Linked DNA regions of Lytechinus pictus. The protein of the gene in region 1 interacts with the protein of each later gene in a pairwise test. Links are inferred from orthologs where the notes say so. Each region holds a gene or a part of one and is shown in the gene's direction. Other genes may lie near its edges.

What was found.
Region 2: the proteins of huntingtin-like (region 1) and tetratricopeptide repeat protein 23-like interact in binary tests that used the Homo sapiens proteins (3 or more experiments, as listed by UniProt). The link is inferred for Lytechinus pictus from reciprocal best matches to the Homo sapiens genes HTT and TTC23.
Region 3: the proteins of huntingtin-like (region 1) and osteoclast-stimulating factor 1-like interact in binary tests that used the Homo sapiens proteins (3 or more experiments, as listed by UniProt). The link is inferred for Lytechinus pictus from reciprocal best matches to the Homo sapiens genes HTT and OSTF1.
Region 4: the proteins of huntingtin-like (region 1) and 26S proteasome non-ATPase regulatory subunit 4-like interact in binary tests that used the Homo sapiens proteins (3 or more experiments, as listed by UniProt). The link is inferred for Lytechinus pictus from reciprocal best matches to the Homo sapiens genes HTT and PSMD4.

What each region holds. Positions count from the first base shown.
Region 1 is NC_087256.1:7,276,420-7,283,523, reverse strand, and holds the start of huntingtin-like, read left to right. Parts: upstream 1-4,072; 5' UTR 4,073-4,179; coding exon 4,180-4,301; intron 4,302-7,104.
Region 2 is NC_087247.1:10,752,549-10,759,501, reverse strand, and holds the start of tetratricopeptide repeat protein 23-like, read left to right. Parts: upstream 1-3,946; 5' UTR 3,947-4,140; intron 4,141-6,953. UniProt on the Homo sapiens protein: Participates positively in the ciliary Hedgehog (Hh) signaling.
Region 3 is NW_026974140.1:5,291,268-5,298,166, reverse strand, and holds the start of osteoclast-stimulating factor 1-like, read left to right. Parts: upstream 1-3,874; 5' UTR 3,875-3,992; coding exon 3,993-4,041; intron 4,042-6,899.
Region 4 is NC_087256.1:4,230,019-4,237,166, forward strand, and holds the start of 26S proteasome non-ATPase regulatory subunit 4-like, read left to right. Parts: upstream 1-4,116; 5' UTR 4,117-4,194; coding exon 4,195-4,220; intron 4,221-6,155; coding exon 6,156-6,296; intron 6,297-7,148. UniProt on the Homo sapiens protein: Component of the 26S proteasome, a multiprotein complex involved in the ATP-dependent degradation of ubiquitinated proteins.

The sequences.
Region 1 (7,104 bases):
GATCTTGCCATCTGATCATCTCTCACACAGGATGTAGACATGACGAGATCCAAGATCTTGCCATCTGAACATCTATCCCACAGGATGTAGCCATGACGAAACCATCTGATCATCTTTTCTATAAGATGAAGACATGACAAAATCAAGAATCTTGTCATCTGATCATCTCTCACACGAGATGTAAACATGACGAGATGATTATATGAACATCTGGATGGCACTTTTAACCTTCCATACATTAGGCCTATATAAAAATCCAACTTTATCTCGCGCTTCGCGCTCGCAGTGGCTGTTGCGTATAATAATAAGCGATCTACTCAATGGGGCTTAAAATATCAAATTTTCAAGTCAATCTGCACAAATCATTCTTCTCTTTATTTGATTTTTGCAAGATACACATCCTGTTCTAAAGTGCTAAATGAAAAAATATCAGCTTGCGCTAGGCGCACCCATCAGTTGTTTAATTAGATACCCACCCTGTTCGTGGTTTTAAAAATGTGCTTAGAACGTTAGTTATCAACTCGGAATATTAAAAAAAAATCAGCTCGCGCTTTGCGCTCCTATTATTTGTTTGTTGAGACATCCTTTTTCATAAGTCACTGCAAACAGTCCTTAACAGGTATCTTTTTAAGTCAATGAATAAAAATAAAAAATAAAAATCAGCGCGCGCTCCGTTCTCGAATATACAAAAACTGCGCAGAATGTTCAATTTTCGGGTCTAATTAATACATAAAATATTTTTGAAAGAATTGAGCTCAGCTCGCTGCGCATTATTCATTTAGGCCATGCGAGATACATTATCTTGTTTGTAACTATAAACTATGCTAATCTCCAGTCTTAGTTAGGACCATGGCCCTGGGAAGCGGGGCCGCTGGGGGTGATGCGTGTATTATTTTCCATATAGGCAGCACCCCCTGGTATTGGAAGGTGAGACGAAATTGAAAAATGTAACAAAAATTACCTAAATTTTGTACAGACCCTCACCCTAGCTTTTTTTTTTGGGGGGGGGGGGGGGTTGTCAAATTTCTGCGGACTCAAATTACTTTCATTTTGTAGTATTTTTTTTTGCTTGTCAAATTTACATCAGCACCCCCAATCAAATAATCGTTCCCATGACCCTGGTTAGGACTCCCCATTCTATAAAACATAAACAAAACTTAGCTTCTAGGGGGTGATCGGGGATATAATGTGCATGAAAATAGTTTTACTCCCTCTTTCCTATTGAGTATTGGCAGTCGAAATCCCGCTTTATAAACTGTAATAGAAACGCCTATGTGTGATCTGCCCCTGGACTCCTCGATCCATACCCCAAAATGTGATTCCAAGCACCCAAGTCACTAAAACTCGCTCTTCACACTTGATTCTGTGAAATACGCAACAACAAAACAAATCCCTTCTTCCCCCATACTTTTCGTTTGCCCTTAGTCCCCCCAGTTTATAAATCCTGATGCCGCCACTGTAAAAATGATTCACATCTCACTATAATCAAATAATGAGAGCGCGAAGCACAAGCTGTTGGTTTTTTTTTCATATTCCGACCTGAAAACTAGGTACTTTTTGTAACCATGAAATGTACAGGTATACCATTTATGCGGACGCGAAAAAAAACCCTGTTGAACAAAATATACGAGCTCGAAGCCCTAGCTATTTGGTTTTTAGATTTTAATCTAAAAATGGGACATTCCGCTATGCACTTTTTGTAATCATGAAAGGATTGTATCTAACTAGATAATAATAGCGCGAAGCCAGAGTGTGTTTTTTATGTGTTGAAACGAAAGAATCTAAACATTTAAACACTGTTTAACATGCAGGAAAATTGTGAAGAGGATATGGAACTCACATGATGCGAGCGCGAAGCGCTGGTTGAAAATTTTAGCCGATTTATACCTATAAACGGGACATTTTAAGTACGTTTTGTAATCATGAACAGGATGCTTATCTTCAATGCCGTGAATGCAAAGCGCGAGGCTGCTAGCTTTAATTAAATACTTGATGTTAATGATCTGAAAAGGGACCATTCAATGGCATTCAGGAATTTTAATCAAAAGGATATTCGTATCGCATTAAAATGAGAGCGCCTCAGGCTCATGCAAGGCCCAGTACTGGCGAGGCCGCAAGCTGACTCATTTCTAGTCCAGACATTATTTTATGTAATTATGAACTAGATGCGTATCACACTCAAACAAAATAATGAAAACTCGAATCTCGAGCAGAATAATTTGTAATTATTGACTTGAAAACGTGATACTTTTCGGCCTCATAATCCCTCATAATATCCTCTTGAGCAGATTACTGTCTCACTCTAAAGGCATTGCGAGCGCGAAGCGCGAGCGAAAATTTTATGTTTATATGACTCAATTAAAAAAAATCCTTTCCTCCCCCTCTCTCCTTCGTTTTTTCAATTTTCCCCCTTTTTTCCTCTTTTTTTGCTTTACTAACTCAGGGGGGGGGGGCGCTTCGGCCCTCTGTGTCCGTCTATATGTAAGAATTGAGTAGATAAGGATAGAAAATGATATGATGAACATGATACAATACATGGCCACATGGCCCCCAGTCCCAACACTTTTATCCTTTAGTTGTTCTATCCTGGACCGGAAAGCTGTGGGTATTTCAAACTTAACATTGGATTTGACAAAGTTACGAGGATTTATACAATTTACTGAGGCGAACTTGAAAGTCCTATAGGAAAAAAGAATAGAACACGAACCTTTACATATTAATTTTTTGTTGCAGTACAACATAATGGACAAAAGTAAAACACCATGGGTCTCATTTTGACTGTGGAACGCCGCCATTCATTTAACAGTTTATAGAAAATACACAGCATCAATCAAGGTCTTGAAATTCAATAACCATCTCTCTTCCAGACCTTTCCTATATACCACATTGAATTTTCATACTATTGTGATATCCATAAAGGAAAATACCAATAATTTAAGAATGTGGTAGGACACCATTTTTTCATAGCGTTAAGTTGATCTTTGCATAATATAGTTAACTATTCAAGAAATGAATTTGTGTTCTACATTGTGAGGAGCTAGCTATTCCATCTATGTCAGAAATCGAAACAAGTTTGATTAATTTTTTAAAATACACATGTAGATAGATAGATGTTTCTCATGTCCACATAAATTTACATGTATGTTTTTATTGAAATTCACCGAATATCACAGGCAAATAAATAATGGGATCACTGTGCGATTCTCATAAAATAATACAATTTTAATGAAATGTATAGGGCTAATTGATAAAATAATAATACCAAATTTAATTTTCTTGAATATAGATAGACAATTAGATGGTTTAAGAAGTTCGTTGTGTCAAGAGCCGAAATGTGATGGATACAAACGGCAATTATTGATACTTAATCCAGCTGGTCTATATGATATCATTTGATCTTTAAAAAATACTAAGATTAGTAAGTAACGTATAATTTTGTTGTGATTTATGTCCAAAAGTCTAAAAATTAGCAAGTGTTTGTTGTGTCTCAATATCACACAGCTGAATTCCTTTTTTTTTTTGGGGGGGGAATAATAATACCAAAATTAATTTTCTTGAATATAGATAGACAATTAGATGGTTTAAAAAGATCGTTGTGTCAAGAGCCGAAATGTGATGGATACAAACGGCAATTATTGATACTTAATCCAGCTGGTCTATATGATATTATTTGATCATAAAAAATACTTAGATTTTAGTAAGTAACGTATAATTTTGTTTTGATTTATGTCCAAAAGTCTAAAAATTAGCAAGTGTTTGTTGTGTCTCAATATCACACAGCTGAATTCCTTCTTCTTTTTTTTTTTTGGGGGGGGGGGGGATTTTTGCGAGACCTAGAATGATGTTCACGCCCCTTAGGGGTTAACAAGTACAGAGAGCACATGCCCATTTTTTTTCTCTAGGTGATTATACTCCATACCTCTATCTATGATATAGTCCCACTATCTAAGTTATGTTTAAAGAAAAGAAAATTACTTTAGTTTTTATGTAAAACTGAGACCTCAGCTTGCTTTTTATATCTTCATTTATTTCACCAAATTTGCATGAACAAAATGCGAAGCAGATATCTGCCGCCCTCTTACGTTTAAAGATGACTAGCTTTTGGATTACCGTGAATTCGCCTGCGATGATGGTGGAAATTTCAAGATAATTCGTGAATTCTGACTACAACCGGTCATCATGAATCGAGCGGTCAGTGTATCAAACATGGAGAAGCTGGCCAGGTCCTTTGAGGCCTTGAAAAATCACCAGCAGAGCTCGACATCAGTCGACGATACGACGAGCACTGGCAAAGATGCAAAGTGAGTATCGAGAATCACTCCCACTGACTCACCTGACTGTCACTGCACTGTGTGCACTGTGATTGAATGGAGATTGTGAATGTGTGAGGGGGGATCAATTGAATGGCAGAATGCACAATGAATGCAAATTGCAATATGTAGGCGTGACTGTCATGACTGTGACTGTGTGAGCCTTGTGTCTTTGTGAGACAGTGTATGAAATGATTTTGCACTAGCTTGTGCCTAGCCAGGAGTAAAAATCATTAACTAAATTAAATATTCTCCACGACTACGGGCTCGCGGAGCCAGGAATTGTGCCCATCATGTGCGTAGTATAAGTAGGACGATCAAAGTTGCAACTTTCGCCCCCGAGATTTCTACCTTGTAAAAGTTCTTGCCCTAAATCATGTAAATGGGCTAGAACTTCATTTCCAATAATTATGCATTATTGATTACATTTTTAAAACAATGTAAATTAAAAAAACAAAACAAATTTATTATGAGAAGATTGGATGTAACGTACCGATGTTTACGTTGCCATCTTGCCCTCTTTGTTTGTAGCTAAGCTACGACACGCAGCAGCACAATATCATGTCGCCCTCTATATGCGTGTCATATACATTTCAATTTGTTTATATTCATTCAAAATTTAAAACAATATATACAAGGTAAACAAATTTATAATGAAATAAAATGCAGAGACAGCTTAAAGTGATCATTTCACTTTGTTCTGATTTAAAAAATTCTCCTTTTGGTTCCTGAAAATGGGCTAAACATTAGGCTTATAGTGTAAAAATACCATCCCAAAAGTTTCAAAGTATTATATTTACAGGATCAATTTTAAAACCTTGGAGATGTAAACCAAAGTTTGAAATAATTGGGAGTTGGTTTCAATGACTATGTGTATACAGGGAATCTGTGCACCACAACACATTAATTCTAGATGAACACAGCATGACCTACATACAGTGTGTACAAGGTATACACTGAATGTACAGTACAGCTAATAGTGTGTGTATAGAAGATACACACAACAGAAGGCAGGCAAAATAGCCAACAGACTTTTTGAATTGGAGAAAACTGGTCATAAGCTGAACCCGTCTACTAGACGGTTCTCAAAATCAGGCTAATAAATTGCTACTTGTATCTAAATTAGAGTTTTTCATCCTATATTGTGGTCTGTTTCAGGGTTTTTGAGGACAAATACAGGCACTCATACGCACGTTTCAACTCAGTTTGAGAATTTTTTAAATCAGCTGCTCACAAAGTTAAACGATCCCTTTAATATAACAATGTCTTATAATGCTGCCACCAATATTTTCCATCAATTGTAGGGTGGCCTAGGGCTAACATTTAGGCATGGTCTATCCAAAAAGAGTTGTACAACATACACGTGTTCACCCCCTGCTTGCCTGTATAGATCTGCCCTGAGCCAGATCACGATTTTAACCTTGGGGGTTTATTTTGCATACATGTCTACATACTTGGTTTGCATGGCAAAGAGAAATAATGAATATTCTAATAAGCACAGACAACCAATAAAATAATTTATGAATATACATAGAACATGAAATATGAATAGCTGCTACTGAATATTCAAGGCTCCACATTAACTTTTTTCGGTGGTGGCCCGTTCAGGCCACCAAAACCTTCAAATAATTTTTTTTGGTGGCCCGATATTGAAGTTTGGTGGCCCGGAAAATATAAAGCAAAAAACATTAAACATTCTGAAAGATTAATTCTGCAGCCACTACCACTAAGTTACTTTCACTTTGTACATCTTGTGTGTAAACCTTGTTTGCTGTATTTTACTTTGCTAATTGATTTGTGGTAAAATATAGATTGTTCTAACTTCTATCATTTATATGAAATGATTGAAAGAGAATAAATGAATTGTGTGGACTTTAAAAAAAATCTCCGTATAGACACAGATTCATAATGGAAAAGTAAATAAATACTGCATAGCAAACTCAGATAGATGTACAAAACAATGATTTTTCCTTTCTTCCTCTTTGAATCCTAAAATCTAGATTATGGAGGCCCCAAATCCAGTTAATTTTTTTCTCTTTTGCATCATATTATAGCAGGAGAAAATCACAGAAAAATATGCTGCAAAATTAGAACAATGCATAAAAGGGGGAAACAAACAAAAATAATTTTCAAAAAGTATATTACAAAAAGGAAACAATAATAATAAAAGAAATAAGTGAAATAAAACAAAAGAAAGAAAATGAAGAAAAAACAAAGAACAGGAAAAAATTAAAAGAAAAAGAGAAAAAAGATTTAGACTATAAAATAAACAAAAGAAAATAAAAGAAAAATGAATCAAACAAAATTTATATAAAAATGGGGGAAAGGAGGAAAAATTAAGAAGCCATTACAAATATTTTTTAACAGTCTATTCTGACTGGAATATAATTAAAAGCCAAGCAAATAATTTTCACTTATCTTTTGGTAATGGCGCATTTCTATTTTTATATCCTTTAGTTTGCATTATTTTTTAGTAGAAACATTCTTTAATCAGGCTTATTCAATGGGAAGGGGCATAAAAAAATGAAAGAAAAAAAAAGAAAATGACATAAGTTATATATCCTGGAAGAAAAAAGTGTGAGAAAAGTCATTCCCTATATTTGCCAAAATGTTGGAAAAATTCACATTTCATATTAATGAAATGACTTCCCAAAGTATTTACTTTCTCAAGAGTGGTTTAAGAAGTCATGTATAAACAAGAAAGAAAGAAACTGTTTATTTTTGGCTAGAAAAGACACAGCTCCGAAAGAAACAAAGTATCAACATACATACAAATGCACACATGGGACTGTGA
Region 2 (6,953 bases), on another chromosome or scaffold:
TAAAAAAATGAAGGCAATGCATAGCTAAAAAGGGCTGTTACTGAGTAAGGATAGTATGGGGTGGGTATATAAATGTACAAAAATAGGATTAAGTACATTTTTCTACATTGTACAATGTTTGTTAAAATTTCATTCAAGGATCTCGATGAGCCTATAGTTAATATTCCATAAAAGAGCATAAAAACCTTTGATATTCGTTTATTTTCTTCCACAAAAGTTTGTCACTCAAAAAAATTGGTAAATTCCTTTCAAATTTGCTGACAAATAGTCTACTGATGTGAGAGCACTCCTCATAAGGGGGGGGGGGGGGGGTGGGACACAATGCCAGAATCCTAAAGAGTGCCTTCCCCATTCAATACATTAGCGAATCATTAACAAAATTTGATTTGTCTACTGTCACTGTGGTTAGAATTCAATCTATTTTTGAAATATAGTCTATTTATATATTATTGCAGTGGTAGCCCATTTCACATTTTTTAAAAAATGAAGATAACAATAAATGCAACTTAATAACCATACATAATTTATGAAGACTTGCAGTGGCGTACCGTGGGTCACGGCATCGGGGGGGCACCAGCAAATTTTTTTTAGACCGTTTCATATCTCTTCTTGGCACTTATGTTGTGATACCAGTACTTAAACAGCTTAGGAAGTGGGAAACCTGCAGGGTAAAATAGAGAAAAGAACATAATAAGCTGTAAATTATTTTTACTCATCTAGTCCAGTTTAGTAAAAAAAGATGTAAACTCTATTTTATATCTTCAGTGATAAAACAAGTTTGGCACATGCAGTCACTTTCGTCCCACATCCAGATAAATTCATATATCAATATAACTATCTACAGTATGTTTTGAAAATAAAGAGTGCAAATTAATTCAAATATTTATCAGAATTTTGTGATAACTGTTAATATCTTGGGTTTTTTATGCAAATGCATGTATAGACAGGAGATATGGATAATTAGTATGCAGTGTTAGAAATGGAAATACTGGTGAATCTGAATTCAAACAAATATTAACTCACAATGGAACTTTAACATTACATGATATCGCATCATGTTTCAGCACAATTGGCCATAGCCCACCCCCTCCCAAAAAGGGGAAATATTTATTTATTTGGTTTTATTATTTTTTTTTTTTTGGGGGGGGGGTGATGAGCTTAGATACAGCCTGTATATTATCAAAACAGTAAGCATACCTTGCAATTTTTTCCATTCAGATATCCTGTTCCTCATTAGATTGTAACTAACACTTGCTGATCGGCATGGTTCTCAATTTTGTACTTCTGACTAGGTGTGAACTGCTAAGAACTTGGTCCCATTGGATCTGCAATTGACAATTTAAATTTGAGAGTTTTAGAGATAAATAAAATTACTCTTCTTAAACAATATTTTTTAAATTTCCAGCTGCCCATATCCCAGGTCTATGAATGAATATTCCAAACTAGAACAAAAAAGTTATCTGGACCCGAAACTTCATTCTCTATTACATAGAGCCGAGGCATAGGCCTACCTCACTCTGTTTATAAAAGTAAAATGATTCCAACCACATATTTCTACAGCTGTATATAGCTGAATCTGGTCTATGCTGGGCCTGTATAACTTAAGAATCACATCACATTTGAATGAAGTAAACACTAAGAACGTTTTCAAATTACCACCCCAGGCCAGGCCCAGGGTATCCTGTTCAAATAGACTTGATTTAGGTCTAGGGTAGGCTACGCCATTTCATTCAAATCTAAGACTAAGAGTAAGACAAGTAACACTTAACATAACAGATATTAATGCTAAGTCAATCGTATTTCAACACTGATTATTCTGAAGTAAAGCGTTCCTGAATAAAAGAAACTGCTGAGAATTATACTTATTCATATGAAGATGAAATAGAGGGGACGGACTAGGCCTAAACTTCAACTTTCAAGCTTGAAGTTTGGGCCTAGTCCGTCCCCGCTATTTTTATACCCCATGACTACATCGACAATCTCGCTAGCCGGCTAGCACCAGCGATATCAAAGGCCGGATCCCGCTCTGACCATATCCCTACATTGACCTAAATTTGAATAGGCCTAAAATCGACAGTTTGTCGTTACTAAAAAACAGGAGGTCGGAAACAAGTCCACATCTACCCCTGATAATTGTCTAATCACAATAAAACTGAAATAAAGGTTTACTTTGGACCTACATGAAGCATTCCGATGAATGTCTAGATCTACGACAAACTATAGACCCCTAGATATAGTATTTTTTAGAAACTTAATGATCACACTTATTTGGAAGTCAGGCAAAAGAAATATTGAAATTGAGGTTTACATAGTGCGTAATACAGGATGCGATGAGCCCCGAACCCCGGCAAACACATTACAATTTGCAAGTGAGATCAAAACATGAAAATGAGCGTAACTTACTTTTATTCCTATGGAATGTCATTAGAATAGTATTGATGTTCCCTCCATGATTTTCCGCTCCAATGAAGTTCACTCAGAAACCATGATTTCGAACATCAATTCTATAAACAGATAATTAGTCTAGCTATTTCGTTTAAAAAAAAGAAATTCGCAGAGTCCAAAAGAACGACACTTCGCACAGATATCGTAGGGAATTGTGGGACGGAAAAAAATGTTTAATGCATGAGTACATGAATAAAACATTAGCGTTTAATCCAATCATACAAGTGCATTATGCGTATTTTGACGTCATTCTCATGAATAAAACATTGACCCTCCAAAATCATCCTTCAAATTGTCCGCCGGCAGCCATGTTGGCTATGTACAAAACCTATGGGCAATAAAAACGCGCGGAAAGAGTTCCCTCTCTACAGTCAGACTGCAGGTCCCAAGAAAGTGGCTTCTTTCATCCAAGTGATATTCATGACTTGAGATGTTTCGCATATTTAATGAGCTTGATGCGGACCAAAACACCTCTTTTTATTCGGTCATTGCTGCTCTAATTGTGCATCGAATTTCATGAATTTGGTACCATTGTAAAGAAGAAGAATCAATCTTTTAGGTCATGTGTTTGGATTTATTCAAAGATTTTGTAATATAGGTTAAAATTTTGATCTAAAATATGCTACAAAATAAATATTTTCACCTGACAAAAGCTGCTATTTTCACACTTTATTTTTGTTTGAGCCCAAATGATGTTTATATCATGATAAAGCTGAATATATATGCTTTGAAATGATATAGGTTTCAAAATAGGAATTGGTTTAATCGGGTCAAGATCACACTTTTCATTTGCCAAGTACATAAAGCAGTTTGAAAACAAGAATACTGCACTCTGATTGGTCAAAGAGACCACACAATGGCAAATTCCAACGGTCCCAGTGCCTGGGTTCGTGGGAAGGTCACACTTCCCATGTGGTAATCTCCTCAAATACCCCGCGCCTGTTGTTCTGTGAACCTTATCCAGCCAATCAGAACTCTGGATTTCTTGCAAGTACAAAATTTCAGAAATCTCGTCTTGTACCTTGGTGGGAAAAGTGTGATCTTGACCCGATTAAAAGGTGCCGCATATCAAGAGTGGCATTGTGAGAAAGTACAGAAGTTCAGCTTAATGGTGATATAGATATCATTGAGGCTCAAAATAAAAAGTTTTGCACAATTTGCAAAAGAAAACAGAGGAAGAAAATTCAGTTTTGAGGCACATTTTCAGGCCAGAAATTTACTTATTTAACAAAATATTGTATACAAAATAAATGACCAATATGAAAGAGTAACTTTTACTCTATCTGATGGTGCAATAATATCTCATTTAACTTGAGGTTAAAACAGGTAAATTCTTAGAGAAAGAAAATCTCACGAATCACGAGATTTTGCAAGGAGGAGGATTCAGCCGCGAGATGATTTGGATGAATCTGGCCTTTTTGCTCATTAGCATAGGGACCTGCGGTCTGACTGTCTAGCTCCCTTCGGGAGCTTACGTATATACGTAAGATCGTATCTCTGTGAGTAACGAATTGACGCGCGCCCTCTAAGCACGTACGTTTATAAATTATCTAAATAACATCTAAGAAAAAAGGACGAATGGAATGGCTTGTCGTTGCTAAGCCTAAGAAAGAAGCACGAATTAGCCCTTGCAAAGTCTCTCGATTGATGTGATTCCATCTACGATTATAGAAAATATTATGTTATCGTTTTAAGGTAAGATAATTGTATCGAATGCCGGTTTAAGAGATTTTTATGTGATGAAGATTGAGGTCCGAGGATTCGTTCTTCTTCATTGCCCCACATATTTATTTGTGTGTACCGACTACCGGTACTGTTGCAGTTGCGGTGTGTACTTTGAGTTTGAGATACAGACACTCACTGATCTGAATATTCAGATCAGTGGATGCAGATGAGACTGAATTTTGTCTCACATCTAACTAGCCAGCACTTCAATGATGAGACAATAATAATGATAATGAGACAATAATGATAATAATATTGTTGAGACAATAATAATTATTAATAATCCCAGACTCTTCCATGTAGTCCAATACATATTATGGCTAAAATGTAATTTTTTCAAAAAGTTTTTATTTCAAATTATATTTTTCTTTCATGAGGACATAAAACAATATACTACCTGGGTTATATTTAGATTACTGCCCCAGGGGAATGGGTACTTTAGGAGAAAACCACAAATCCCTGATAAATGTTTTTACTCTCTGGCCCAGAGAGTAAAATTAAAAACATTTATCAGGGATTTGTGGTTTTCTCCTAAAGTACCCATTCCCCTGGGGCAGTAATCTAAATATAACCCAGGTAGTATATTGTTTTATGTCCTCATGAAAGAAAAATATAATTTGAAATAAAAACTTTTTGAAAAAATTACATTTTAGCCATAATATGTATTGGAGTACATGGAAGAGTAGTCCTTGCCTTACAATACATCACTATGACATCCCATATGCGGCCAATTTGAAGTCTCCATGGGTATAGTGATTACCAATATTTACAACTTTTAAAAACTCATAACTTTCTTGTTGTTTGCCCAATATTGTTCAAACTTTCACCTATCAACTTGTCTGATTTTTCTTTTCCTTATAAAAACAAGTTTTTATTTGGGTTGGATTCCCCTTTAAACAGTTTTGTAAATCATAGATATTGAGCCTCATTGTGAGCATTTAAAACATGCTGGAAAAGCAAGCAGTGAGACTACGCTCCGAACAAAACGAGGAAATTAAGCAGGGAAAACATTTTGTAAACAAGGCAGAAATTAAAAAAGTAACAAATCCAATTAATAGAATAAACACTCAGAAAGGAAATGCAGTTTCTGATCAAACCGAAATGGAAATCATCTCGGATTCGCAATTTTCTACCAAAACAGAGGTGACAAGTAAAATGTCTGAGAATGTAGGCCAAACGCATAGTAATTTCTTGAAAGGTGCTTCAGACATCACACTTATTTCTTTCTTTATTAGACTAATCAGAATAGTAACAAAGCCTGACTGTAATCCATTTGATGAAATAACACATATTTTGAAAGATGCTCTGGGTTTACATCCCACAGACGTTGATTTACAGTCGATTCGCAGCCTATTCTACTAGTCTGATCACCCTCGTGGCATTCAGCATTCTCCAGTGGAATGCACAGGGTCTTGAATGCCACGGGGATGAGCTAAATAGATTTTTGAATCAACAAAAAAGACCCTTAGAAATTATTTGTGTACAAGAAACTTGGTTAGAAGAGGGGAGGGTCTTACAGATACCAGACTATATATGTGAATATAGGAACAGAAAAGGAGGGTTCCGAGGGGGTTGCGCTATATACGTCCATTCCTCACTAAACTACAAAGGTGTTATCAAACACGATGATCTGGAAATCATATCATTAGAAATTTTATTGGATGATGAGATTTTAAATGTAGTTAATTTCTACAACCCGTGCAGCAAACTTAGCACAGATTCGCTGAATGAACTTTTAAAAAATGTGAGGGGGAAAAACTTTGTAATATTGGGAGACTTTAATGCCCATAATACATTATGGGGCAGTAAAAAAACAGATGCTAATGGCAAAGCAGTGGAAGAATTTGCAAACGAGAGAAATCTTGTTATCTTAAATGATGGAAGTGCCACTAGAGTAGACTACCACACGGATAATTTTTCTTGTTTGGATCTAACATTAGCCCCTCCTTGTACAGCGAACAAAACAACGTGGCAGGTCCTGAACAACAGCTTTGGAAGTGACCATTATCCATTGTTAAGCCAGTTGAACATACTGAAAGGGAATGGTACGCAAACAAAGATCGACCACTCTCAGTCTATCAGTTCAATGTTATCCACAAAGAATGTAAATTGGGATGAATTTAGGCGGCAAACTGATGAGCAGTGGAATACCTTACAGAAAGGAGGCAAGGTCATAGAGTTCGATTCTTTCATGGAATCAATTAAGATTACCCTGGAAAATTTGAAAGGACATCGAGCTACCAAGAATATTAAGAAAAACCCAGTACCATGGTGGAATAAAGAATGTTCCTCTAAAATAAAGGAGAGAAATAGAGTAAGGAGCAAATTGAAAAGTTATGTAATACCCCCTCCAGATTTATTGGAGGATTTTAAGAAGAAAAGATCTATTGCCCAGAAAACTTTAAGGCAAGCCAAAAGAGTTTACTGGGAAAAGTACTGTCAAGACATTGATCGTTTTACCCCTTTATCCGAGATCTGGAATATGATTAAAAGGATCAATAATGATGGTATTTCGCCTAGGAAAAACATTGTTCTCATGAGAGAGAATAGTTCCGTTGTTACTGGCAATGACGTTGCGGATACTTACGCCAACCACTTTAAAAACATAAACGATAGTTTTAAGGGCAAAGTTTTTACCCCTGAACAAATAGATATTGTTAAAAAATATGAGGACATCATATCATCATTTGGTGATGCTAAGGGTAGTAGTGTCCTTAATGAACCCTTTACCATGTACGAATTGAGAATATCTTTAAAAAAATGTAAAGAGTCTTCTCCAGGTA
Region 3 (6,899 bases), on another chromosome or scaffold:
GTTTAAAAATTCTATATTCAAAACATCGAAAGCTTTCGTGAAGTCTGCTAACATAATAGCACCTGTTTTACAATGCTTATTGAAAAAACCAATAACATCTTTTGTTAACCTTACATTACAAGCTGATAGACGAGACGACCCTTTATATACCCAGTTTGATTTTCATGAGTAATTTCGTCAACAACCTTATGGACTCTGACAGCTAGGACAGCTGCTATTATTTTGTAATCACAGTTCAGCAATGTAATAGGTCTCCAATTCTTAAGTTCTTTACAGTCACCTTTTTTGAATAATAAAGTGATAAGACCTTTTCGCTGAGTATCTGACATAATTCCTGACATGTAGCAGTCATTCAGACTTTCTACAAGGAGGTCTTTCAACAAAGACCAAAACATTTGATAAAATTCAATCGAAAGTCCGTCTGATCCGGGTGCCTTATTTTTTTGCTTTGCAAATATAGCAAGTTTACATTCTTCATGTGTTAACAATCCTTCACATATCTGTTTACTTTCATTTGTTAATTGATGCACGGTTTTAGATGATACGTAATTTTTCATACAATTAATGTCATTTTCTTCACATTTTTTTTTCTATATAATTCTGAATAAAAATTTACAACCTCTTCTAAAATATCTTCATTTCTAGTTATAACTTTCTGATCCTTTTCACGTTTCATTTGTGATATTTCTTTTTTCTTAGCATTATTTCTTTCTAACCCGAGAAAGTATTTGTTACTTCTTTCTCCTTCTTCCATCCATCTTACTCGAGCCCTAATACCAGCTCCTTTACAATCATGTTTATACGTTTTCTCTCATTTATCTTTTACATCAATATAGTTTTTATGCACATTTTCATCATCAACATTAACATCCATTTGTTTACTTAAAGGAGAATGAAACCCTTGAAACCAGCTGAATCCATATCAAAGAGAAAAATCAAAGAAACATATTGTTGAAAGTTTGAGGAAGATTGAATGAATAATAAGAAAGTTATGAGCATTCGAATATTGAGATCACTAGTGCCATGTAGATCCTCCCAACGGCAATGCGACCAAGATCTGTGATATCACACACGTACAACTCCCTCATTACTTTAGTACTTATTTCACTTATATTCTCACTTTTATAGAGTCTATCACAAGGTGAGGTGTTCTCTTTATGAGATGACAAGTACAGAGGTTTCACAACATTATATCATTGATGAATCGTTTGTCATATGATTAGAATGAGCAAAAAGAGATGTTTTGGGGTATATTTTCAGTGTCCAAATGGGAGAGTTGTACGTGTGTGACATCACAGATCTTGGTCGCATTGCCAATGGGAGGATCTCCATAGCATTAGTGATCTCGACATTCAAATGCTCATAACTCTTTTATTGCTAGTCCTATTTTTCTCAAAGTTTTGTTGATCTTATTCTTTGATTTTTCTGCTTTCACAAAAGCTAACTTGCTCCAAGAGTTTCATTCTCCTTTAACTCACACAGGTCATTTTCTAATGATAACTTTATAATCCAGTAGATGGCACTAGCTTCAGGTCAACTCCATTTACCCACATGGTGATAACATAGAACACTGTACAATATATGTTATTATTATTCATTTTTTATTCCATTTTAAGTCCAGACATAATACACAAAGCAGATTTTGATACAAAGGTAAAAGTAATCGAAGTTATGTAGTAAACGTATGTTGTAGACAAAATAATTGCTAACTGTCATATCTTCGCTGTAACACAATCCATGTATAGACCTATGGCTGGTATGAATATTGACGATGGAAATAATAGAGTTCAATCTGTCATTTATGTTGACGGAGTTTTCAAGTTCTTGGATTATTTTGTTGACAAGGTGGTGCTGTGCCTTTAGTTGTAGACTCCATCCTCACTCTCTGTTTCTTCATCATCGTCGTCATCGTCACCTCCATCTGGGAACTGGAATAAACCATCAAATTGTGGACCATGCCTGGCTAAGACTCTTTGTACGGCTTTCTGGAATTCCATGCCATTTTCTAATCTTTCCTTGAGATCAGAAACGATCTCGTGATTGATGCCTGCTTCTCCTAGGCTAACGTTCTGCTGCAAGAACTTGGAGTAAAGATCGAAAAAGATGCGTTTGACGGCCCACAGTATTTTCACGTGAGCCTTTTCTTTAGCGTCTTCTTCTTCCATTCCCTCTGAGATATATTTCTGATATTTTTCGTCTCTCAAGTCCTTGGTGGCTGTCATGGCCTGCTTTAACCATACTCGGTAAGCAATGTTGTCTTCAATTTCATCTACGTTATCTGTCTCTGACATTGACGATTCATCCTCTCCTTCGTTTTCTGAATCACTAGATTCTTCAACTCCCTGAGTTTGAGAGGATGGTTCGGAGTAATCATCCTCACTTGTACCTTCTTCAGCGTAGGAAGATTCAATTTTGCCTTCATCTTCTGTATCAGTGTGAGCTTTTTGTTCATGCCTCTGCATATCAAACTTTCGACTATAGGTCCTCTGGCATTGGGAACAAGTGAGGATGATTACTCCGAACCATCCTCTCAAACTCAAACGTCGAACATCTATTTGGCCTCCCTAGGTCGAACATCAATTTGGCGCCCCCAATTGGAACATCAAATTGGCGCCCCTAGTTCGAATATCAATTCAGCGCCCCCTAGTTCAAACATCAATGTGGTGCCCCTAGTTCGAACATCAATTCGGCGCCCCCCTAGTTCGAGGAACAATTCGGCGCCCCTACATGTAGGTCGATCATCAATACGCCCCCCCCCCCCCGTTCGAATATCATTTCGCCCCCCCAGCTCGAGTATCAATTTGGCGCCCCCCTAGTTCGAACATCAATTCGGTGCCCCCCTAGTTTGAGTATCAGTTTGGCGCCCCCCTAGCTCGAACATCGATTCGCCCCCCCCCCCCCAGTTCGAGTATCAATTTGGCGCCCCCAGTTCGAACATCATTTTAACATCCCTTCGAACATCATTTCGGCGCTCGAATATCAATTCGGCGCCCCTACATGTAGGTCCAACATCAATTTGGCGCCCCATAGTTCGATTATCAATTTGGCGCCCCCTAGCTAGTTCCAACATCAATTCTGAGCCCCCCTAGTTCGAGTATCAATTTGGCACCCCCCCCCCTAGTTCGAACATCGATTCGGCCCCCTTCCCCCCCTAGTTCGAGTATCAATCTGGCGCCCCCAGTTCGAACATCATTTTAACATCCCTTCGAACATCATTTCGGCGCCCCTACATGTAGGTCAAACATCAATTTGGCGCCCCTAGTTCGAATATTATTTCGCCCCCCCCCTAGCTCGAGTATCAATTTGGCGCCCCCCTAGTTCGAACATCAATTTGGCGCCCCAATGTCGAACATCAATTCGCCCCCCCCCGTTCGAACATCAATTCGGCCCCCAATTCGAACATCATTTTGACATTCCTTCAAACATCATTTCGGCGCCCTTTTGGTTCAAACATCATTTTCTTTCCTGCTCTTCCTCTTTTTTTCTCCTCTTCTTCCTTCCCCCTCTTCCTCTCTCTTTTCCCCTTTCTCTCTCTTCTCTTCTTTCCTCCTTCCTCTCTCTTTTTTCTCCTTTTCCTTTCCCCCTCTCCCCTTTCCTCTTTTCTTTCCCTCCTTTTCCTCTCTCTTTTTTCTTCCCTTCTTCCCCTTCTTCCTTTCTTCTTTTCCTTCCCCTCTTCCCCTCTTTTTTCTCTTTCTTTCCCTCTTCTTTTTTTTTGCCAAGGGGGGGGGGGGGGGAGGGGGGCCAAGGCCCCCTCGGCCCCCCCCCCCCCGTGGATCCGCGCCTGCCATAGCCCCAGACCCGTGAAGAATCGGCTGGCGAAAAGCCACTTCGACTCGCCCTGTTGTCCCTATTTTTTTTTTTTTTTAACGTTAACGATACCGTATAGTAGTATAATTTTTTCAATATTCACTTCCGTGTTTGTTTACATCTTGGAATAGGAATATATTTTGTGTATTCCTTCTATTTAGAGAGAAATTAAAATTGTAACCATTATGACGACACCTGCTAGACCTGCACCTCCAAGACCCCAGCCTAAGCCAGGTAATATTACAATGCTAAAGAAGTAATTGTGGAGGTAGTTTTACATAAGTTACGCTGAGCTGAATGATGCGATATGAAGGCGTTGCAGCCCCGGAAACTCGCCGGGGGTACGGTACAGTACGTACCCGTAGCCAGGCCTACGGCGCGGTGCTGGCTTCTCTTGATGCACGTGATCGAGGAGGCAAGGCTGGTGCACTAACGTTAAACCTCGCACTATGAACATGACAACTGTGTTTACGCAATAGATTTTTGTCGATGTTGATTTCAATGTCTTTCGCTTGGCGACAGCACGCTAATCGCGCGATGAAAATGTGCGAATTGCGTGCTGTCGAAAAGCGAAACCGAAAGACAAATCAAGATGGCGACGTAATTAACACGGTGTTAATTTTTTCTCTTTTTTTAAATTGAATTCTTGTTTAAAAATGAAGTTGATATCGTAGAAATGTCGGAAATGAAGTTGTATCCCATGTACCAGTAGTCCCCAGTACATGATTTATTTTAGGGCTAGACCTTTTACTTTTTAGAAGGAAAGTAGAAATTTTGGGGGCAAAAGTTTGAGGTGTTTTGGCGGTGCGTGTACTGTAGACAGTAGAGGCGCACGGCCAATATGGGAGACTAACTCCAATAGGGGAGACAATCTCCCAAATTGGAGACTTGCTTTGCAAAAGGACAAAAGAAACAACACCAACAAAAGCATGATTTTTTCCACCCAAAATTTTGTCTCACTGAGGTCAGAAGCCCATTTGTTTTGTGTGTGATTTACAACAAAAATCCTTATCAAAACAAAAGTAGACGGTGAATTTTTAAAGTAGACAGTGAAAAGGGGTAATTTTTCATGAGGAATCCGCTTATCACATTTTTATTTGCCGCCAAGGTAATCCTTTTGCAGCAAATGTAAACAAAGGAAATTGGTCTCCAAAACTGGAGACTGTCTCTGAAATTGGATACCCAAATTCTTTACAAAAGTCTCTGATATTGGAGATAATCTCCCACATTGGAGACAGTCTCCAATATTGGCCGTGCGCCTCTACTGGTAGATTAATGCAATCGAATCCCTGGCCTTGCTTCGTTGAGAGTAAGCATACGTTAGTACATGATTTTTACTCTCTAGAGGCCTCCTGGTTAGGTTTGTCGAAGGACTTCAATTTCAATTTATTATTTATTTCACTCAATAAAAATAACATTTCTGCCAAAATGTCAGAAAAATCCACATTCCATACCAATGAAATGCCTTCCCAAAGTATTTACTTTCTCAAGAGTGGTTTAAGAAATCATTTATAAACAATAAAGAAAGAAATTATCTGCTTATTTTTGGCTGGAAAAGACAGAGCTTCAAAAGAAACCACGTATCAACACAGGTGGGTCTGTGATGTACTCACCTATGTGTATTTGTGTGTATTGATTCATTTGATACTTAATCTTTTTTTATAGTCAAAAGAGAGGTGACAATTCCTCCTTTTATGCTTGCAAATGATCAGGGTACACCAGATTTTTAATAGCAATATGGACTATATTGGTGTAAAATATGACTTTTACTTAGATTTTCAAAGTTCTGTGAAAGATTTTTTAGCAGCAAGATTTCGTATCGCAGCTCCCTGAGTGCATAGGCTGCTAGCTAGCTGCGATTGGCTTTAAGCACTGCCGCAGCTGAATATATCTATGCTAGAGCGGTACTGTCATAACAAGACTGTATGCAAAATTTTTGTTTGTGAATCAAAGAAAAAGGCATGTGACGATCTGGCTTGCAATTTGAACTGTAGAAAGTTGATAAATTATGTGCAAAATCGGGAGAAAAGTTGTGCTATTTTAAAATTGATTGGTTGCCCGATTCAAGCACCAAAATTTAGCATTTTTCAAATTTGGTTGCCTGAGGTAAGGCCAACCGGGAAACGGCTAATGTCAAGCCTTGAAATCGACCTACTGTAGATCTTTATAAAATTTTAATTCTAAGTACAAGTGTAGAAATTTCTGCATGATATTCTCATTGTAATGTCAATTGAGATTGGGCATGGCATGTCAGATACATTTGGGAGAAAAACTCAAAATACAAGGTGAGACCTATTTCATTTTCATGGCATTTTGTTTATTTGACCATTTAAAATCAACAAAGTACATGAACATGATGCGTGTAAGAATGAATAGATACCATACATAAATAACAATTTATAAATGGTTAGGACCGAAAAGAAGAAAAACTGCTTATAAACTATGCCCTACATAAAAATACTCATGTATAGACTCTACACACCTCCCTATCACATGCGTTTATCGATCCATTGAACACATACACAGCTTGTGATCATAGAGGAAATAGAATATGATAGAGAGCGATAAAAGAAGATGAAAGAAATGAATAACCTACTCAGCCATATAAAAAATTACTTTAAATACATATTTCTTGTTGTACTTAAAACTACTAATTTAGTACTAGATCTTATATTGCAATGTTGACTGTTCTATTCATGTATCCCAACAAAAGATAAAAATCATAGAGCAATGTTGAATGACAAAGAGGAATGTGCAAGTTTTTGCTTTGACGAGTTGGGTAATTATGAACTGTAGAATATGTTTTGAACATGTAAAAACGTGCAGTAAAAGGTTTTTGTGAAATTTGAACATGAATAACAGTGTTTTAATCTTTTTCAAGTAAGTTGCAGTTCTATGATTTTCAGTTTTAAAAAACAGTGACATACCAAGTTGAGGATAAATAATGCTGTTTGTAATTAACAGGGCTACGTGTTTCTGTATTTGTAGGTATTTCCTCAAATGACATTGCAATAATTTAAATGGGAGAGGATTTATGAATTAAATATTTTAATCAATTTGTTTGTTGGGAGAATATTTTTTAACTTAAACAC
Region 4 (7,148 bases), about 3.0 Mb from region 1:
GCCGCACCGAATGGGCAATGACCCTTGTCTGCAGCTGAATTCCGTCTCCCTCGGCCTCCCAAGCGAAATTCAAGATAAAAAAAATCTGAACTGTGCGATAACTGTATAAAATACTTACCAACAGCATACTTTGCCTCCTTTGTTGGAACCCACCCCGTCATTGTGTCATGCATATATTCCAATTTACTAGCAAAGAAGAGAAAATCTGCTTCCAAACACCGTCTCAGCGCGCCGGTAGATGCTCCTCTCACTTCACCGAACCTCTCCCGACGTCGCCATGTTTGATGAGTGAGTGATCCGATTGTCAAGTCATGTGATTGGAATTTATCCAATCACTCATGCGGAATCCCGCACATTATTGAAGGGATTCAGGGAAATCCCATACAAGTTTTTTGTTGTAGTAGTATTGCTCAACTCCACAACCCCGGGGGGGCCAGTTCCATTCACGAGTGGATACCATGCGCGACCATGGGGTCTCGAAAAGCACCCTAAACACGTAATTTCCATATTCTGAAAATGCACCCCTTAACAAGTATTGGCGTGTGAAACCCTACCCTTAACAAGTATTGGAAACAAAACGATACCCTTGGCAAATATTCCCTGAAATGAACCCCTAAACAAGTACATGAATGTTTTATTGTTACGGGTCTTTCGGTCGTCGGCTTTACCTAATTTGGTTTAGTACGACCGCATCTTCTACATCTCGCGAAAATTGGACTCTAAACACGAAGTGTTGGGGCAAAAAGGACATCCTTTATAAAACATTTTAATTTTGTTTTATCATCCCCGCAAATTCGACCCTAAACACGTAATTGTCCTAGCGAAATAGATACCCTTTTTTCATTATTTTTGTGTTTTTGACACCCTTATCACGTTACGTACGTAACGTGCCCTATCGTGAAAAGGACATCCTTTTTACGTGTTTTTTTGGTCGCGCATGGTATCCACTCGTCAATGTAAGTGGCCCCCCCGGGTCCACAACACATGCCCTCAACAACAACATCAACGCCCACGACAACAACCGCGGCGACAACTTCCGCAATAATTATATTACACTCAGCTCATCGCCAAAGGGAGTAAGATGGTGGTTGATGACCCGGAGTGCCTAAGATGGTGATGATTTGGTTGTTGTGAGTGGTGGTCCGAGTGGTGGTGATGGTGGGGGGTGGTGGTGGTGTCGGTGGTAGTGATGGGGTGGGGATTATGGTTGTGGTAGACGTGTAGGCCCACCGGAGTGCAGGTAAACCAGATGGTGGTGATTTGCTTTCAGTATATTCATGGATGTTTCATGCCGGGGATTCATCGGGTTTCATGACAGTGGTGGTAATTATGATTATGACAGTTGTGATAAAACATGGTGGTGATAATCTGTATGATGATGATGGTGGTGGTGGTGATGTTTTCTTGGTTAGAATTTTAAACAAGTTGTTTAAAAACCTTCAAATAATCAAATAATTGTGTAAAGTCTTAAAAACTTGTTACAGCATTCATAGCTCGAGAAAGTGCTATATATATATATATATATATATAATCTTTCACAAGAATCATCAGTAAAAGTATAACGAATGCGCTGTATATTTAGTGAAGTGTTATTCAATTTATAACAAAAACTTAGGACGGAATCTTTTTAATTCCTTGCCACCTTTATTTCGAAATTTATCTGCCTTTCTTTTGTTGTTTTGCTAGTTTATCCATGGAGCTAGGGGACATGGTTTATCTATAATTTGCCGTATACTATAATGAAAGATCCTTGAAAAGGGTGGATTTATAGATGGCGCTATACTAACATTCTGCCCTGGCTGTCTCGAGGAGAGATCCATCAAAGAAGAAAGATAAGATTATAGATGGAATTTTAAGTTAGTGTGATAAAAAAAATGAAATATTGTTTTGCATACTGGGCCATTTTTATCTATTTTTTTTTTAATTGTAAAAAGGGAAATGCTTAGAAATTGTAGCAGTACTGATAAAAAGATGAACACTATCAAACGAACATTTAGAAATGCGATCACAAAAAATGCAGCCCGTTATATTTTCAATTTGGTTTTTATTTCATGTCAGTGATCTTTGGCTACTAAAGAGCCTTAAATTAATGTACTATGGTCCGTGTAAAGGGCACTTAAGACGGTCTTTATCAGAAGTGATTAGATACATTGCTTGAATTGAGATCGAGGAACATAATATGCCTTATAGGGACATAATAATTATGTTAGGCCCCTAGACAGAGGGTTCTAATGGAACCCCCGCTGCCATGGACCCGTCCACAGAGGATAAATATACTGTTACTTGGGGTGCTGAGCATTGTCACAGCACCCCAAGTAATAATAAATAATCCTCCTCCTCCGTTGCCAGGTCCATGCCCGCTGCAAACAGGAAAATAGGGGGATATGATATAAACACTAAACAGTTAAAAAAAACTAGCATAGCGCTGAAAATTTCATCAAAATCGGATGCAAATTAAGAAAGTAATTACATATTAAAATTTCGCTTTATTGTTCAAAAACAGTTTTAGCACAACTCAGTGACCTACTATAGAGAGATTCGATTACATTCCTCACTCATAATTCTTTTGCTTTTTATTGTTTGAATTATACAATATTTCAATTTTTACAGATTTTACACTAAGGGCCAACTTGACTGAACCATAAAATGCTACGATAGTAATTTGATATACAAAATATTCATAGATGATTTTTTTTTTCCAACGACATTTTCAAACAATAAAATAACTGAGAAATTGTGAGTTGGTGACGTCATCAGTCCCCTGATACCGACCAGGATGCGCATATAGTAACTGTTTTGTTAAAATAAAACGAAACTTGAAGATTTCATTACTTTTTGATGAAATTTCCAGTGTGTATATGCTCGTTGGATTTTTTTTTTTTTATTCAACTAAACTTTTTTTTAGTTGGGGCGGACTTGTCATTTAAAACTTCAGCTTTATAGTGGCCAATCGGGGGAAAATGTGGACTAAAATATAAATGTGTCCGCCCTATATTGACCAAAGCTGGATCCGCCCCTGAAAAGGCTGAAGCAAACGGAACTGAATATAAACTACAAAGGTTCACTTTTTATAGTTAAGATCCCCCGTCCAAAAGTCCTGGATTCATTTTATTGATGCCTACAAGAAACATTAAAAAAAAAAAAAGATTTTTAAAAGGCCCATGCAAAAAGACCCACACGAATTGAAGGAGACAGTTAGTGGATACAATATTATTATGTGCGGTATATCTAACAATGGAGAAGATGGGGGGAAAAAAACCTTATTCGAATATGTTGGAATAATTGAGGATACTGTTGTGAGGTTGATTTAAAATGTCCTCAATTTATCTGATGCCGAAAACGAAATACTTATTAGGCACAGACGTCCACACTATAGGGTCTACAAAAATAAAACAGTGGCCTGTCAGCCCTGCCCCAAATAGGGCAACTTTTCGCATAGACCAAGGGCCACACTTTTTCATTGTTACAAAATCGGGAGTAAGTCTGCCCCGGCACTCTCACCATGACGCCTTCTCTTCTCTCCTTTTTTTTAAAATTTTTTTTTTTTATTGAATTATTGAGCAACGGGGTCTGAAGAAGTGCGGAATCCTTTGATATTGAAAATAACCAAAGAAAACATCAAAATTACTGTGATAATCATAATCATGATTGCATTAATTTTTTTGACGTATATACTCAGGAGCAGAGGCGTATAATGAGCCTAAAATTTTGAGGGAGCTATAGATGTGGCGTATCGCGTAAAATTTATTTAAAGTTGCGAGGGAGCAAAATTTTTTATATTTTCGTGACAAAAATAGAATTTTGTGATATATGTTAACATAATGTTCAGAAAATGATATCATATTTCATCCGCCTCCTTCTTTCTTCCCTTTTCTCTGTTCTATTCTTGGTCGTACACCAGTGCTCGGGAGCACACTGATCGAAATATTGGTTCACCGACTTTTTTTCTTTATTATTTTTTTCACTTGAACTTTGAACTTTATTGAAATAACGCCTTTTGGTCCCGTGGGAGCAAATTAAGGCTTTAACATATTACATGTACATGATACATGTATATAAAGGTTTAACAATAGTAGTAACGTATTTACAATTATTATACAGCAAAATACAGGTGCCACAGTCAGAGATACGATCTTATAAAAGCGCCCTCTTCGCTAGTAATTAGTCCTGGAAGAACATTAGAATTCAGCAAAAATGCCTCTCGAAAGTACGGTAGTTTGGTAAGTAATGACACTTTATTTAATGAGGAATGATATCTAAATTTGAATATATTGACTTTCAATTTCTAGAGCATGTCGATAAATGTAAATATTGCATTTTAAGCATTTTTTCGGAAGCAATGTTGCTGAATCTTTACGCTCAATGATTATGCATTTTTCATCGTCTTATATCGGTCCCACGAATTGCTTTTAATGTAATGTTTACATTGCTGCGGTGTATTTAAAATCCAATTTATGGGGAAGAGTTCCATATATGCACCCTAGCCAGGAGGCTCCTGGAGATTAATGTCATATCACTGACGTGCTTAATCTCCATGGAGCCAGGGACGGGATGCCATTGCTTTACACAAACCAAGTAATTTGGCAACAATATTAATCATGAATTCATGACCATGTTGCTCCAAAATTAAACATGCAATGTTAGGCAAAAATACACCCTACTCATTTTCTTTACGTTAGGCTTAGCCTTAGGTTTTGTCTTTTGTTTGAGCCCAAACTTATGTTAATGGGCTACAATACTATTTGTAAGCTTTTAGCACTAAAGTCTTAAAGAGATATTTTTTTATATAATTAAACATAATAGAAAATATTAAAAGTAGAGCCAGCACCAGACTCCAGACTCGGAGTCCAGAGGAGCGTTGTCTCAGTCTGTTATTGTCGCCATCTTGCCGTCTTTGCCTATCGTAGCCCACTCACACGTACACGTATTGCGAGGTTAGTTGCACCATGAACCGCGTTTGGCAGTGGATTCCTAACTAGTGGGTCGCGTGTGCTGGGATCCCACTTCTGGTGTCCACAACACACGACTTCTATGGCTTGATTTTTCTGTGCGCGGCGGCATATAATGAACCCTTGAGTGATCGTAGCCTAGCTACAAAGAGGTGTATAGAGGGCAACAATATCATCATGAGCAGTGTCAACTTAGATTTTAAAAAATACTTGCATTGGCCGATAAATATGAATCGTTAAATACTTGGCTTGCATCGGCCGATAAATGTACAATTCATGATACTTCATCGGCTGATAAATATCATGAATCATGATATTTATTGGCCGATGCAAGTAATTTTTTTATCTAAGTTAGCACTGCTCATGATATTGTCGACCTCTATAGGCGTCTTGTAACCAGGCTACGATAACAAAGACGCCAAGATGGCGAAAATAACAGAATGTGAGTAAACGCTCCTCTACTTTTAATATTTTCATTCATTTTATGTGTAATGTTATTTTAAAATATGACTATTTTTGAGCCAAACGGATTGAAATGATATTGTAGCCCATTTACATAAGTTTGGGCTCAAACCCTAAATTAAATGTGCGATTTCCATTAAGTTAGAGCGTGGCAACTCTTACTGTACGTGTAGTGCAATGGCATCCCGTCCCTGGCTCCATGGATATTAAGCACGTCAGTGATATGACATTAATCTCCAGGAGCCTGCTGGCTAGTCTGTGTACTACATGTAGGAGAAATAAAAAAATAAAAAATGTTTAAAAACCCCTTGAAACAGATGGCTGCCAGCTGTCTAGACCTCTATATGTTTGGTGTGAGTTGTGGTGATTGACTGTGCTGGCTTGTGGAATAAGTTTGCCATGTCGAATGGTAGAACATGTCGAAATCTGGGTTTGTTACTCTATAAGCTTTCAATTAAAATATGATTTGTCAATTTCACTTTGGGTCCCGTCAGACTCGGGGTCCTTAATTTCGCTCTTTCTCATCTTGTCTTGCTCTTTTAGCTTGGTCATCTTATTATTGACTGCCAACTTTTTGTTATTAAAGCATAGCCATGAGAGCTATATCTTCACATACATACATGTATGTGAGATTTCAATGTCCCCCTCCTCCATGTAGGTTGAACAAAATTTAAACAGTTTAGAATATCTGATGAAGGCACCGTCCTTTCATATCATTTATGTTGTTTCTGTGTGTTTAAACAGTGTTGACACCAGTGAATACATGCGGAATGGAGATTTTCTTCCAACCCGCATCCAAGCACAGCAAGATGCAGTCAATCTCGTATGTCTCTCCAAGACCCGCTCTAATCCTGAAAACACTGTTGGTCTTATCACCCTCTCAGAGTGAGTATTGTCTTCAATTTTTTTTTAATTGTTATTATTGAATCATGGTTGAAGTAATTCAGCCTTTTGATTAATAGGAGCAGTATGATTTGATTTTTTATTGGTGCATCTTATTATGTCATAATGTTACTTCCAAAATTCTTAGAAATAACATCCAGGGAGATATACATGTAGGTGTCAATGCCATAAAATGCAGGCAAATCATTAAGCAAGTACACAGATGCAAGTTTTCAGACAATGTTCTGCATTCAGATTTTTTTCAGGCCATGAGTTATTTTCATTTTAAATTAATCATTAACTATAATTCTAATCGATTTTTTTTCTCAGGCCCTATGTTATTGATTACGATTCAGCCGCATGTATCTGGCAATGTTGGAATGGATACCATCTGTATAACAGATGAGACCAGAAACATGTATGAGACTAATTATGCAGTAGGATGCCATGGTAGAGAAGATTAATGTATTGTCTGTCTCCAGTGCTGTGATTCTAATTTCATCAATAATTGGAAATATGAAATTTTCCATGATAGACTACTTTAATGTAAAGAGGAAGCTTGATATGAGATATGGGATAAATGGTTTTATTCACTTGGTCTACTTGCAGATGGTCTAATTCTCAGATCATCTTCTCAACACAATGGATCTATTTAATAGTAGACCAAGTGGGTTTAGCCATGATTCATGGCGTAACCCACTTGGTTTACTATTAATTAGATCCAATGGCCACTTTATTCAAACATATCTTGGTCTATTATTGACATTGGGCTAACTACCATTTAGTTTATTGTGCAGATGGTCTTATGTCCACTTCATTTAGTGATTTTTTTTCACTTTGGCAGATGAAAATATT